Linked DNA regions of Mus musculus. The protein of the gene in region 2 purifies or fractionates together with the protein of the main gene of each other region. This does not show direct contact. Links are inferred from orthologs where the notes say so. Each region holds a gene or a part of one and is shown on either strand. Other genes may lie near its edges.

Region 1 (3,688 bases), on a different chromosome or scaffold from region 2:
GTGTGTACCACCATGTCTGACTTTTTTTTAAGTAAAGAATCTAATAGGCACTCAAACTTGCTATGTGACTGAGGCTGGCCTAGAACTCCTGATCCTCCTGCCTCTATGTCCCAGGTAATGGGATTGATTACAGGTGTGTGCCACCACACCCAGCTTCTTCCTTTGAGTGTGTGAATAGGTTTGAGTGCGTGCTCGAGCATGTTTATAGTCATGTGTGTACAGGCTGATGTGGGGTATCTTCCTTCCCATACACGCTGCACCCCTCTCCCCCTTTTTGAGACAGACATAATGAGTTCCAGGGCAGACTGAGCTGCGGTACAAGACTGTTACAGAAAAACTGAAAAAGCATACAAAGCAATGGATTTCTTCCTAGCATTTCCCCAGCACACATCACTGTATTTGTTCCTTACTGCTCTCTGGAGCCCCCACCTCCTGCTTACTTCTTATTGGGTGTCTCAGCAAAGCATTTGAGGGAGGACGTTTCTACCACTGTCTCACAGAATGTCACAACTGGGTCAGCCACCTAGGCAATGAGAAACAATTGAGATAAATGTCAGTTTTGTTGGAAGGACAAAGTTCTACTGAGGGAATTCTGATGCATCCCTGTTCTCTCTCTGCAGAGCATCCTATGCAGTTCTACAGCAGCAGGCCAAAGAACTGTCCACATCACCACCAAAGAGTCCGGGAGCAGCATCAGGAGGAAGTGGGGGCACAAACTAGGCTCTAAATCTAGGGCTTTAATTATGGTCTTCCAAGAAAGCTCCCGCCACCTGCCGCTCACTGACCACCCCTCAGAGGACGACAGGAACAGTGCTAGAGAACTGCATCTGTCCACTCTCAGGCTCCAGCTCCAGAAGTACAGCTGCCCTGTAATGCAGGGCCGTGCAGACAATGTCATACCATGCATGGTGCTAGGTCAAGACTTGGTGGTAAGTCTGAGAGCCAGCTCCCACTCTCCATGACACCATCTACTCTGAGACAATCAGCAGAGACAGAATAGTTTTTCTCCTAATGTAGGGACAAGAATAACTGTGCCTTGGGAGCCTTGACTTTAAATGACACTGAAAATGACTCAGTGAGTCGGGTGACCTGTCTCTAGAACCTTCCCCGATGAAGAACAACTGAAAGCACTTTCTACAGAAGGGTCTCTAGTGGTCATCCAAGGGGCTAAGGGTTTGCCCACTCAGGACATCCCTTTGGAGCTGACAGCCAGGCTAAGGGAAGGGGTACCTTGATGTCGATCTCTGAGTACATCTTCCGCAGGTCGTGCATCACACAGTCCAGGTAGAGCTCCCCAGTGCCCAGGATCACATGCTCGCCAGACTCTTCCACCTGAAACACAGCAGCCCAGCAGTCAGCGCTCACTGCTGTGTCCTGGTCACCAAACAAAACTCAAGGCACCAGAGATGAAGGTTGCAAAGCTCATTATCAGAAGCAGTGACTATCTCAGGCAGTAGAGGGTAAGGGCTGGCTGGTTCAGTGCTTAAACACTTCCTCTGTGTGACCGAGACCTGGGTTCAATCTTCGGTACGATCTACACCCCACACCTCGCCCCGCAGCCTGCAAAAAGCTTAGTGTGGTGGTATGCCTGTCCACTGGCTGGTCTTGTGTGCCAATGTGACACCAGCTGGAGTCATCACAGAGAAAGGAGTATCGGTTAAGGAAATGCCTCATGAGGTCCAGTTGTAAGGCATTTTCTCAACTAATGATCAATGGGGGAGGGCCCCACCCATTGTGTGGTACCAACTCTGGTTTCTGTAAGGAAGGCTGAGCATGAGGATCTAGTCAGTAAGCAGCACCACTCCATGGCCTCTGCATCAGCTCCTGCCTCCAAGTTCCTGTACTGTTTGAGTTACTGTCCTGACTTCCTTCAGCGGTGAACAGCAATGTGGAGGTATAAGCTAAATAAACCCTTTCCTCCCCAACTTCCTTTTTGATCATGGTATTTTATTACAGCAAAAGAAAGCCTACCTATGACAGCTTGTAATTCAGCATTCAGGTGGCAGGAGATTCACCCTGAGCTTGAGGTCAACTTGATTGACAGAGCTAATGCTAGGCCAACCAATACTGCACAATAGTAGTCTGTCCCCAGTATAAGAACAGTATAAGGCAGTAAGAGGACCATACTGCCCTAACCAGTAGTAGGTCCCCGAGACGACAGGACCATTTAGCACAGCATCACTGACTGGATTCCTACCTTGGCCAACCCTATCCTTAAATCCACACACAAGGTACCCCTTTAACTTGCCCTTCTGGCTACTCAGAAATAGTTTGGTGGCAGGCTCAAGAGTATATAATGCCCAGCCACTTTTGCTTTTCTTTTTTCCCACTAATCCAAAGAACAGTAGAGGCCAAACTCTAGGCCCAAGTCTCTCTAACCAGAACTCTTATGTATTCCTCTTTTGAATTCTACTATTTCCTTTTTCTTTTTAAAGATTTATCTTATTTATGAGTACAGTGTTGCTCTCTTCAGACACACCAGGAGAGGGAATCAGATTCCATTACAGATGGCTGTGAGCCACCATGTGCTTGCTGGGAATTGAACTCAGGACCTCTGGAAGAGCAGCCAGTGCTCTTAACCGATGAGCCCTCTCTCTCCAGCCCTGCTTGTCTTCTTTTCTACTATTTTATGTGTACGGGTGCTTTGCCTACAATTATGTCTGTGTACTACATGCATGCCTGGCACCTGTGGAGCCACAAGAGAGCAGTTCCAATCCCCTGGTAGTTATAGATGGCGATGAGCAGCCCCCTGCTTGCTGGGAATAAAACTAGAGTCTTTTGGAAGAAGAGCCAGTGCTCTTACCTGCCGAGCCATCTCTCCGGCCCCACCCGCAGCCCATGATGGCCTCTGACTCCCTATGGAGCTGAGGCTGTTGACCCTGAGCTCTGGATCCCCGACTCAGTCTCCCAGATGCAGGGATCACAGGTGCCTACCACCATGACTGGTTCTCATTTCTCTGGAGAACCGATTCAAACTGTGTGCCCACTGAAGACTATGGCTATGTAAAGTCGTCTGAGGAAACAAAAGTGCACACTCCAGTCTGCCTGCCCTCAAACGATAACAGGCAGGCGGTAGAAAACAACAGAGGACGAACACCTCTTGAATGGCCCGGAATGACAGACAGACAGCACAGAGCAGTCAGCCGGGGAGCGTGGGGCTTGGCAGCTCTGCAGCCTTGGCCATACCTTGGTGGTGAGAGATGGATAGCTCTTGTTGACCTTGCGCAGGCCATCAAGCATTTTGGGCAGCTCTGAGGGGTTAACCGGCTCCACGGCAATCTTGATAACAGATGTGGTATTGAATTTCAAGGGCCGGAAAATCTGAGCCTGAGATCCAAAGAACAGAGGAGTGAGGGAGGGCCTAAGGCAAGAAGGTGCAGGCCTAAGGGAAAAACTGAAATCTTGACTCCCCAACCAAGAACCATGGTACATAGGAGCCCAATTTAAAGGACCATTTGCTTCAGGAATTTTGGCAGAGCACTGGGCGAGAACGAGAGGCAGTCCTCCTAACTCCTGGCATCTGAGGAGAGCTCAAGGGGTGAGGGCAATACTAGGGCTGAGCCAAGCGGCAGCAGTGGCTCTGCAGCAGGACCTTTCCAATTTCTAAGCTTGGTTGCTCACATGCCTGTGGCTCCTTGTGCCTCTCTAGCTCAGTGTGCCCCTTCAAAAAACTACCTCCTCATTGCCT
Region 2 (4,300 bases):
AGAACAACAGCAGCTCAGTTAGTGTCATCATCGAGTGTGCTGGTGTGCATGAACATGTATGTGCACACACGTGCAGGCCAGATGTTAACGCTGTGTGTTCTCATCAATCTTTCACCATGCTGCTGCTGTTGTTGTTGTTTTAATTTCTCTGCATGTATATGTAATTGTGCATATTGTGTGGTTGTGGAGGCAAGCGGCCAAACTCAGGAATCTGTCCCAATCACTTTCCACCTTAAATTTCAGAGACAGGGAGGTTACTGATTTGGGTGGACTGGCTGGTCAGCCAGCTCTAGACATCTATATGACTCCACCGGACCCCCTGGTAGGAATACAGATGTAAGCTATCATATATGGCTATTATGTGGGTGCTAGGAGCCTGACTCAGAAACAATGTTAGCACTTTAGCCTCAGAGCCATTTCCTCAACCCTTTGACTTATACTGAGAGAGAGGGTCTCTCAGCTTGCTTATTCCGCTACATTATCCTCTCTGCCTCCCCAGTGCTCAGATTATAGACATGTGCCACCATGCCTAGGTTTTTATGGGATGCCATGGAATCCAAACATGGACTCTTGTGCTTACATAACAAACACTCTGAGCTATCTCCCTGGTACCATGGTTATAGTCACAGGGGCTGGAGAGATGGCTCAGTAGTTAAGAGCATATGCCTTTAATCCCAGCACTTGGGAGGCAGAGGCAGGCAGATTTCTGAGTTCGAGGCCTGCCTGGTCTACAGAGTGAGTTCCAGCACAGCCAGGGCTACACAGAGAAACCAAAAAAAAAAAAAAAAAAAAAAAAAGCACCAACTACTCTTCTGAAGGTCCTGAGTTCAAATCCCAGCAACCACATGGTGGCTCACAACCATCTGTAATGAGATCTGACGCCCTCTTCTGGAGGGTCTGAAGACAGCTACAGTGTACTTACATATAATAAATTTAAAAAATCTTAAAAAAAAAAAAAAAAAAGAGGAAGAACAGCCCCAGAGAGGAGCCAACACTCACCACCAGAGTAGTCTCCTCTTGAACCTTCTCTCCTACCAGCAGGGCAGCCGCACTGAGCAAAAGAAACCAAACCACAGAAAGAGAAACAACACAGAGACAAGGAGGAAATCAGTGTGCTGGCTAGGGTTTTGTTGATCTGACATAAGCTGGAATTGTCTGGGAAGAAGAAACTTCAATCGAGAACCTGCTCCTGTGGACAGTGCTCCTCCCCGTGGGCAAGTGGGCCTGTGTTGTACAACATAGCTGGATGTGAATGAGCCAGGAAGCAGTGTCCTCCAGTCTCTGCTTCAGGCCCTGCCATGATTCCCCCAATAACTGAGGATGATCAGGAAGGGTACAAGTTGTTTTGGTCCTGGTCACAGCAGTAGGAAGCAAACTGAGACAATTGGGATTACATAACTGAGAGAGTAGTGGGCAGTAGTTACAAAAGCCAAAGAAGAACCCAGTGCTCTGCTCGCTGTGAATGGTGAAATGGGGGGTCGGGTGAGAGGCAATGAAGCAGTTGGCGCACGCTCCTGCAAAGCCATTTGATATTCTGGAAATCACAGAGTAAGGTTCTGCCAGTCAAGGGATCTGTATCAGAAGACATATGCCAGAGGAAAATTTATCAAAATGACCCTAAAACCTGAAGCCAAGGCTTGACAGGGACTGAGTAAGCACACCAGCACTGAGCTATCCCCACCATTTCTTGTTTACTTTATGACCCAGGTCTCATAGTTGCTCAGTCAGGCCTTAAACCTGTGATCTTCCCACACAGCTGGGACTACAGTGCTATGGCACTAGGATGGGCCTTGTTGATGCTGAGACCAGTTTCACTCTGCAGGCCCGGCTGGCACCAAACTCATGGTAATCCCACTGTTTCAGTTTCTCAAGTCTGGGAGTCTAGGTGTGAGGCAGCACACAATCCCAGTCAATCTGGTAGCAAGTTATAGTGCACACCCCTGGCAATGCACACGACGCAGCCTTCTAAAAAGGTTTTCTGGAAAACACACACCATGGTCAGAGGCTCACAGTAATATGATGATTTAACTCTTTAAAAGCATGGGATAAACTAAAAAAGAAATAGGTGGGAAATAAATGGAAATATTATTATAAATGCTGTCTCTCTACCTCAAGTTTTTTTCTTTTTCTTTATTCTTCTTATGAAGCCTAGGTTGCCCTCAAACTCCCTGTGATAGGATTGCACCAAACCAGGCTATTGTTTATTTATTATACTTTTTAACCTAAGTTTCCCAAATTCTTATCTCTTAACACGTTGTCAATCACAATTCATCAGTCCAGCTAAAATTTACAGTTAGTGACTTGGAGCAGACCCATAGACCATCAGGTTCAGGGCATGTGACAAACATTTATAAAGAACCTTAGTTCCCTCTATGATCAGTAGAACTGTATGTCAAAGGAGGGATTTGTGACTGCGACCCTAGCTGGAAATTTTTGTTTTAGCTGGAAATCAATGACGCCGCGACCACCCCCGTGGTACCCACCTCACCCCATTTGGCCTCTTCCGCAAGTTCTGCACCTCTCGGGTTTCTTCCAGTTTTAGCCTGGGGGAAAAAAAGGAATAAAAAGTGACGCACAGGTTGAGACCTGCGGAACTCAAAAGCCAAACTCCGTTCTAAGGACATGTCCCTTTGCCGAGTCCCTGATCCAGTGGTCATCGGCAGTCAGACCCATGCGACCCCGGGGCACCTCTCCCAGCCGCGATGTGGCCTTATCCCTAGGAGCCTCTGCGTGGCGCTGGCCGGTATCCAGTCCCAAGCCTGTCTCAGCAACACGTACCGAACCTCCTCTGATTCTTGTTCATCCTCCTCCGACTCCGAGTCAGCCCGGCGCCGGCGGAATGTTTTCCCAGTAATCCGCATAGCGGAACCAGACCCTTGGCGCTGCGTTACCAGACGCGTAGTCCAGGGAACCTCTCTCTTCCGGCGCGCAGAAGTGTCGTCAGAGCGTCGGCTGCACTCAGACCCGCCTCCGCCTTGCCAGGCCACACCCCAAGCCCGTAGGGCCCCGCCTCAGCAGGGCAGGCAACCACTCCGAACTCCGAAAAGCAAGGGCAGGTATTGCCGCGTGGCCACACCCTCGACCACGCCCATCGAGTAACCATGCTCACCGCTCAACAGGACGGCCTTCGAACCACACGGTGAAACCCCAGCAGCACGGCCACTCCCCCGACTCCCGGCATGCTTGGGCACTCACCACTCGCACGGCCACGCCTCCGGCGTGCCCGGTACCGCCCTCTAGTAGGCTGTGACCTGTGACACCGCCCCCGCTCCTGGCATAGGCTCTCCCGATTGGACGTCTGACGGTGAGGAGGCGGGGCGTGGCAGGCAGAGCCACAAGACTCTAGGCAGCGCCGCGGTGGGCTAGCTTGACTGACAGGCGGCGCGGTTGCGACGGCAGGTGAGTTTCTGACGGCTGCTGCCTGCTGCCGGGGGCTGGGCCGCTAGAGCGGGGATCATCGTCCAGCCGCTGGGAGCAGGGGAGGCCTGGCTTTGCGGGGCGGCCAGGACCTGGTAAGAGGTCCCCGCCGCCTATCATCCCATCACCGACTCCCGTGCCCGCCCCGAACCCCCACGGCTCTGGCTTTTGAGCAGGCCGCACGTCGCTTGGAAGGCCAGCAGGAGGCCACTCGGGCTCCAGGGCTCGGACGTGCACATTTATTCCTCACTCACAAAAGCTGATCACCTTGCCGGGGGTGAATATCAGTCCCGGTGCTGACTGTCCATACCAGGTTGGCCTGCAGCCATTCGTCCCTAGGAGAGGTACCACTGACGTTCAGAGGCCAGGGACTGCTCTTTGAGAGCTTGGGAGGACTCGTTTGGCCTGGAGGACTGTCGCTCTGCCATAAGCACCTTACACCCCCGAGATGTTGCGACGGTAGTTAGTTTTTAAAGGTGTCTATAAACACTTATAAGATGGATAAGTGCATGCGTAATAGCTCACATGGGACTTTTAGGGACTCCTTAATTACTAGTTTCCTCTGGAGCACAGCGCTTCTTACTCGACACTTAACTGTGGCAGGCACTGGGGTAAGCAGTCTCTTCTAGAAGCCTTCCATCAAATCCCACGAAGTAGATGCAGTTGGGTCTCTCTTTCAAAAAACGAGGCTACCGAGGCGTAAGAGAAGTAACCCGTACTTCAAGTTCTGCAGCTGGGAGGTGAGGCTGGGTTGGGGACAGAGCTTTCACAGCTGCAGGGTGTGCTTCAGGGACAGCGGGCCTCTGTGGGTCTTCCCTGCTGCTGCTGCAGCTGGTGTGCCAGCTTATGGGCTGGGGGAGGGGCTGATGGACACTTTTTCCAG
Region 3 (3,688 bases), on a different chromosome or scaffold from region 2:
GAAAGACAGCCCAGAGATCAAATCAGTAAATAGTGACAAGTGTCCATGCGACCCACACATGGCAAAGAGACAAGCCACTTTAGACAGTCACAAACATACAAACACATGATAGCTGAAAATCCTAGAGAGCAGCCTGAGAACCACAACAGGAGTAGGTCAGAGTCACTTAACACAGAGCGGGGACAGATGACACAGGACATCAGGAACACAAGCCTGGGTGAGGAAACCACTTACCTTCAAACTGTCGGGCCAGAAGGTTGCCCAGCCATCGCTCTAGCAGAGGGGTAATTCCACGCATAAAGAACAGCCAGACCCGCCAGCCAGCAGCCCAGAAACCACAGCCAGGGCCTTTCCCTACAGGACCCTACAGTCAAGCAGAAATCATGAACATAAATGAACAATTCCTTTAGAGAAATGATAGAAAGAAAACCAGGCAGAAGTAGAAGGATGAACATGAATCAGGCTGCCGTGAGACAGGGTAAATGTTGTTTGAGTCCTCAGTCTAGAATAGGGATGCATGTAAGAATTTCAAGGCAGAAACTGAGGCTCCTGCAAGGATTCAGTGGTAGGTTTGAGGGGAAGTGCTGTGATTCACTGAGTATAGTAAGGACATAGTCAAGAGATTCTCTCTAAGAAGGTCCTGGGGAAAAGCTCTAACTGCAAAGAAAAAGCAAGGGTGTGTGAAGGCTGGCAGTGAGGGCTGGGTCTCACCGTGTTGAAGCGGTAATAGATGAGATGTTTCAAGTCCTTGCACATGCGGATCTGCCGCATCAGCTTATATTTGTATCGATACATGCCTGTCAACTGTCCCACGTGGGCAAATATATACTGCAAACCATCTGCCAGCTGCAAAAAAAAAAAAATCACCCATTAGACTTAGAGCCAGAGCCAGCTCCAAAGCCAGCACAGGCTTTACCCTGTCTCTCCATCCAGGCAGGGGTCCAGGCAGCATGGCCTCACCTGGAAGGCATCTACATTGCCCAAGCGATACTGCACATGGCTGTCCACAACCAGCTTGGTTAAACGCAGTACTTCCCGACATAGATGGAAAGCATTCCCAAAACGGGATTTCTTTCTTTCCTGAAAAGGCCAAGAACACAAAGAACATTAATGATAGTGGCCACAGAAGGAGGTGTGCCACAGTCCCATCCACCCCTAAGCCCAGCAGAGCCGCAAGATCCCAGACAGGACCTTGGTGGTGAGCGTCTTGACAGGCTTCAGGTTGAAGTTGTAGTCCAAGTGCAGATAGTTGAGGTTCTTCCGGTGAATGAGAAGGTTGAGCATGTTGTAGCCCTGGCGGCAAACCTGCAGCCCTACCTCCACCCAGTCCAGCTTGGTGGACTGAAAGAATTTGGTAGCTTTGAAAGAACGGAACAGATACCTGGGTAAAAATAGAGATGAGCGTTAAAGTGGCAGAGTGACATTTTGGAACACAAGGTGTAGCAGGGGCCTCCAGCGCTGTACCTCTTCTTCTGGGCTTTGGGAGGCCGGTGCTTGAGGGCATTCAGCACATAGTACTTAAGCAGCTTCTGATAAGAGACTCGAACCTTCACAGGCTGCCCAGCAGGACAGTGCTCCCGATACCTGGTTAAATAAGCCCATCAGAGCCTTGTCCCCTTCTCCTTCCAGACCCTCTGGGAAGGCCGCATGCCCATGCAGACAGTCTTTTCTCGCATGCTGCTCTACTACCCCTTAGGGAGAAACCTCACCAGTTCTTGACAAGGGGTATGTCCAAGGCCCGGCGGGTACGACCAGAGCGTAGGTTGAAGGGCCGTGGTGCCCAGAGCAGGGCAATGCCATTGGCTGTGTTGTCTGTATAGAGAGGTGTATCCTTCAGGAAGGGCTCGACAAACTCTGGGAGTTCAAACTCTTCATCATCATCAGGCAGTGGTTCTTGGCTCTGAAAAAGAAATCCTCGCGGGTTCATTTCCCGCTCACTGAGTGCAGGACTGAGATGGGCAGTAGCGGCTACACATGCCTGACAAGACATGAGCAGCCTAAAGAGCTAGATAAAGGAGCCAAGGGAGTAGAGAAGAGAGCTAAGCAGGAAATCAACCCACCGGCTTACCACTAAAAGCTTCCCAAAGGAGCTCTAGTACCATACCATAGGAAGTACGTACTGCAGTCAGTTCCTGACCAAAACTCCTGAGCTCAAGAAAGGAGGCCTGAAATCCCAGTATGTAGGCAGAGGCTAAGACAAAGGGACTGCATGAGTAAGACCAACACGAAACCACCCAGCCAATTTAGGTTAACCTACACTATATGTCCAAAAAGAAAAAGGTGAGGCATAGGCTGCTGAGTGGCAGGAAACTTGCATGCATAAGGCCCCAAGCTCAATCTTCAGGACTCTCATTCCCAGCCGCCCTCCAAAGCATGTGATTCCCTCTTGCCTTGACTGAGTGTCTATGGGAGATTGGGTTGATCAAAGGATCAAAGTAGAAAGCTGGCAGATCAGGATCCTCAGTCTTGATGAACACAACGTTGGGAGTGTGGTACCTATAACAAAAAGAAGAGTCAGCCAACATTCTCGTGCTCTGGCCTTCTCCGTTCTAACTGCCATGCTGCAAGCGTCTTACCAGGTCAGGTGGACGTGGTGTGGAAGGTTGTTATACAGGTAAGGAAAAGCAATCTTGTACTCAGTACGAATAGGCTGACGGATGATGATCTTATTAATATCGTTAAATTCATTCCAGTCTTCATCCCTAGGACAGAAAGTCAAGTGAGTTGTCTAGTTCCACTGTTAGACAGGATCTTAAGATAAATATTAAATTTTAACACACACAAGGTGCCTCCCAACTTACTGTAAGTTGATGTCTCGAACAAGAGGCTCAAATTTGGGTCCCCCAGGAATGGCCATGTTGAGTGCCTTAGAGGTAAAAAAGGCCTTCAGATCAAAGAGATAGAAGTAGTTGTCATCTACAAGGTCAGTCAGAAGCTGATTGGCCAGTCGGTAGAGTGTGGACATCATAGGCAATGTGAACTGCCAGCGTTGGTAGGTGGAACCATTAACGTACCTAGGGAAAAGATGGAGGGCCCCCATCAAGTAGGTTTTGAGCCCAGTCGCTTACCTACTGCCTCCCCACAGCTCCTGTTTGCAGAACTCTCACAGAAATTAGTTCCACTCACTTCCTACTGTCTCTCAAAGGCTGGTGGTCATAGAACCAGTCCAACACAGGGGCATCCTCCTCTGGGTCCAGCTCTAGCTGAATGGCTTCCAGTGGCTCAACATCTAAGATGTTGTCGGCATAATCCAGGGGCGGTTCCTCGTCATCGAAAGGGGGGAAACGCATCCTCTTGAAATGCCTCCTGTCTCTTTTTTCTCTACGCATCATGATCCACATTGACCTAAAATGCAAGAGCATCATGTCCACTGATCTCAGCTGCAACACCCCACCCCAGCGCCCAACACCTCCCACCATACTCCAGCCCTTCTCACCCCCACTGGGAGATGTAAACCGGCTCGATAACCCAGGGAATCTCGTTAACAAAGGAGATGGCTCCAGTGATGTGGTACAGCACAGGCACGTCCCGGATCTGCTCCCAAGGCATGGGCATGTTCTCAAGGAGCTTGAGGACTGCATGAGGCATGTACTTAAGAGCTCTGCAACGAGGAGGAGAGACCATGAGAAAGAACTAAGGGTTCTGTTATCTGTCCCCTGCTGACAAGCCAGTTATCACGTGTTCCACA

Evidence for each region. The genes of interacting proteins can lie anywhere in the genome.
Region 1: the proteins of BC005624 (region 2) and Eftud2 purify together in Homo sapiens (affinity purification with mass spectrometry; 3 studies listed by BioGRID and IntAct, with this or other methods). This does not show direct contact. The link is inferred for Mus musculus from reciprocal best matches to the Homo sapiens genes C9orf78 and EFTUD2.
Region 3: the proteins of BC005624 (region 2) and Prpf8 purify together in Homo sapiens (affinity purification with mass spectrometry; 4 studies listed by BioGRID and IntAct, with this or other methods). This does not show direct contact. The link is inferred for Mus musculus from reciprocal best matches to the Homo sapiens genes C9orf78 and PRPF8.

The regions. Positions count from the first base shown.
Region 1 is NC_000077.6:102,842,910-102,846,597, forward strand, and holds part of Eftud2 (116 kDa U5 small nuclear ribonucleoprotein component), read right to left. Parts: coding exon 3,676-3,688; intron 3,328-3,675; coding exon 3,187-3,327; intron 1,333-3,186; coding exon 1,231-1,332; exon of another isoform or gene 728-1,230; coding exon of another isoform or gene 621-727; intron 524-620; coding exon 441-523; intron 1-440. Other genes in the region: Higd1b (HIG1 domain family member 1B), read left to right, coding at 621-727. UniProt on the Homo sapiens protein: Required for pre-mRNA splicing as component of the spliceosome, including pre-catalytic, catalytic and post-catalytic spliceosomal complexes. Component of the U5 snRNP and the U4/U6-U5 tri-snRNP complex, a building block of the spliceosome.
Region 2 is NC_000068.7:30,979,000-30,983,299, forward strand, and holds the start of BC005624 (telomere length and silencing protein 1 homolog), read right to left. Parts: upstream 2,943-4,300; 5' UTR 2,862-2,942; coding exon 2,779-2,861; intron 2,544-2,778; coding exon 2,484-2,543; intron 1,052-2,483; coding exon 1,000-1,051; intron 1-999. UniProt on the Homo sapiens protein: Plays a role in pre-mRNA splicing by promoting usage of the upstream 3'-splice site at alternative NAGNAG splice sites; these are sites featuring alternative acceptor motifs separated by only a few nucleotides. May also modulate exon inclusion events.
Region 3 is NC_000077.6:75,489,655-75,493,342, reverse strand, and holds part of Prpf8 (pre-mRNA-processing-splicing factor 8), read right to left. Parts: intron 3,602-3,688; coding exon 3,437-3,601; intron 3,346-3,436; coding exon 3,127-3,345; intron 3,015-3,126; coding exon 2,802-3,014; intron 2,703-2,801; coding exon 2,577-2,702; intron 2,497-2,576; coding exon 2,391-2,496; intron 1,901-2,390; coding exon 1,710-1,900; intron 1,585-1,709; coding exon 1,465-1,584; intron 1,382-1,464; coding exon 1,192-1,381; intron 1,081-1,191; coding exon 961-1,080; intron 847-960; coding exon 712-846; intron 365-711; coding exon 235-364; intron 1-234. UniProt on the Homo sapiens protein: Plays a role in pre-mRNA splicing as core component of precatalytic, catalytic and postcatalytic spliceosomal complexes, both of the predominant U2-type spliceosome and the minor U12-type spliceosome.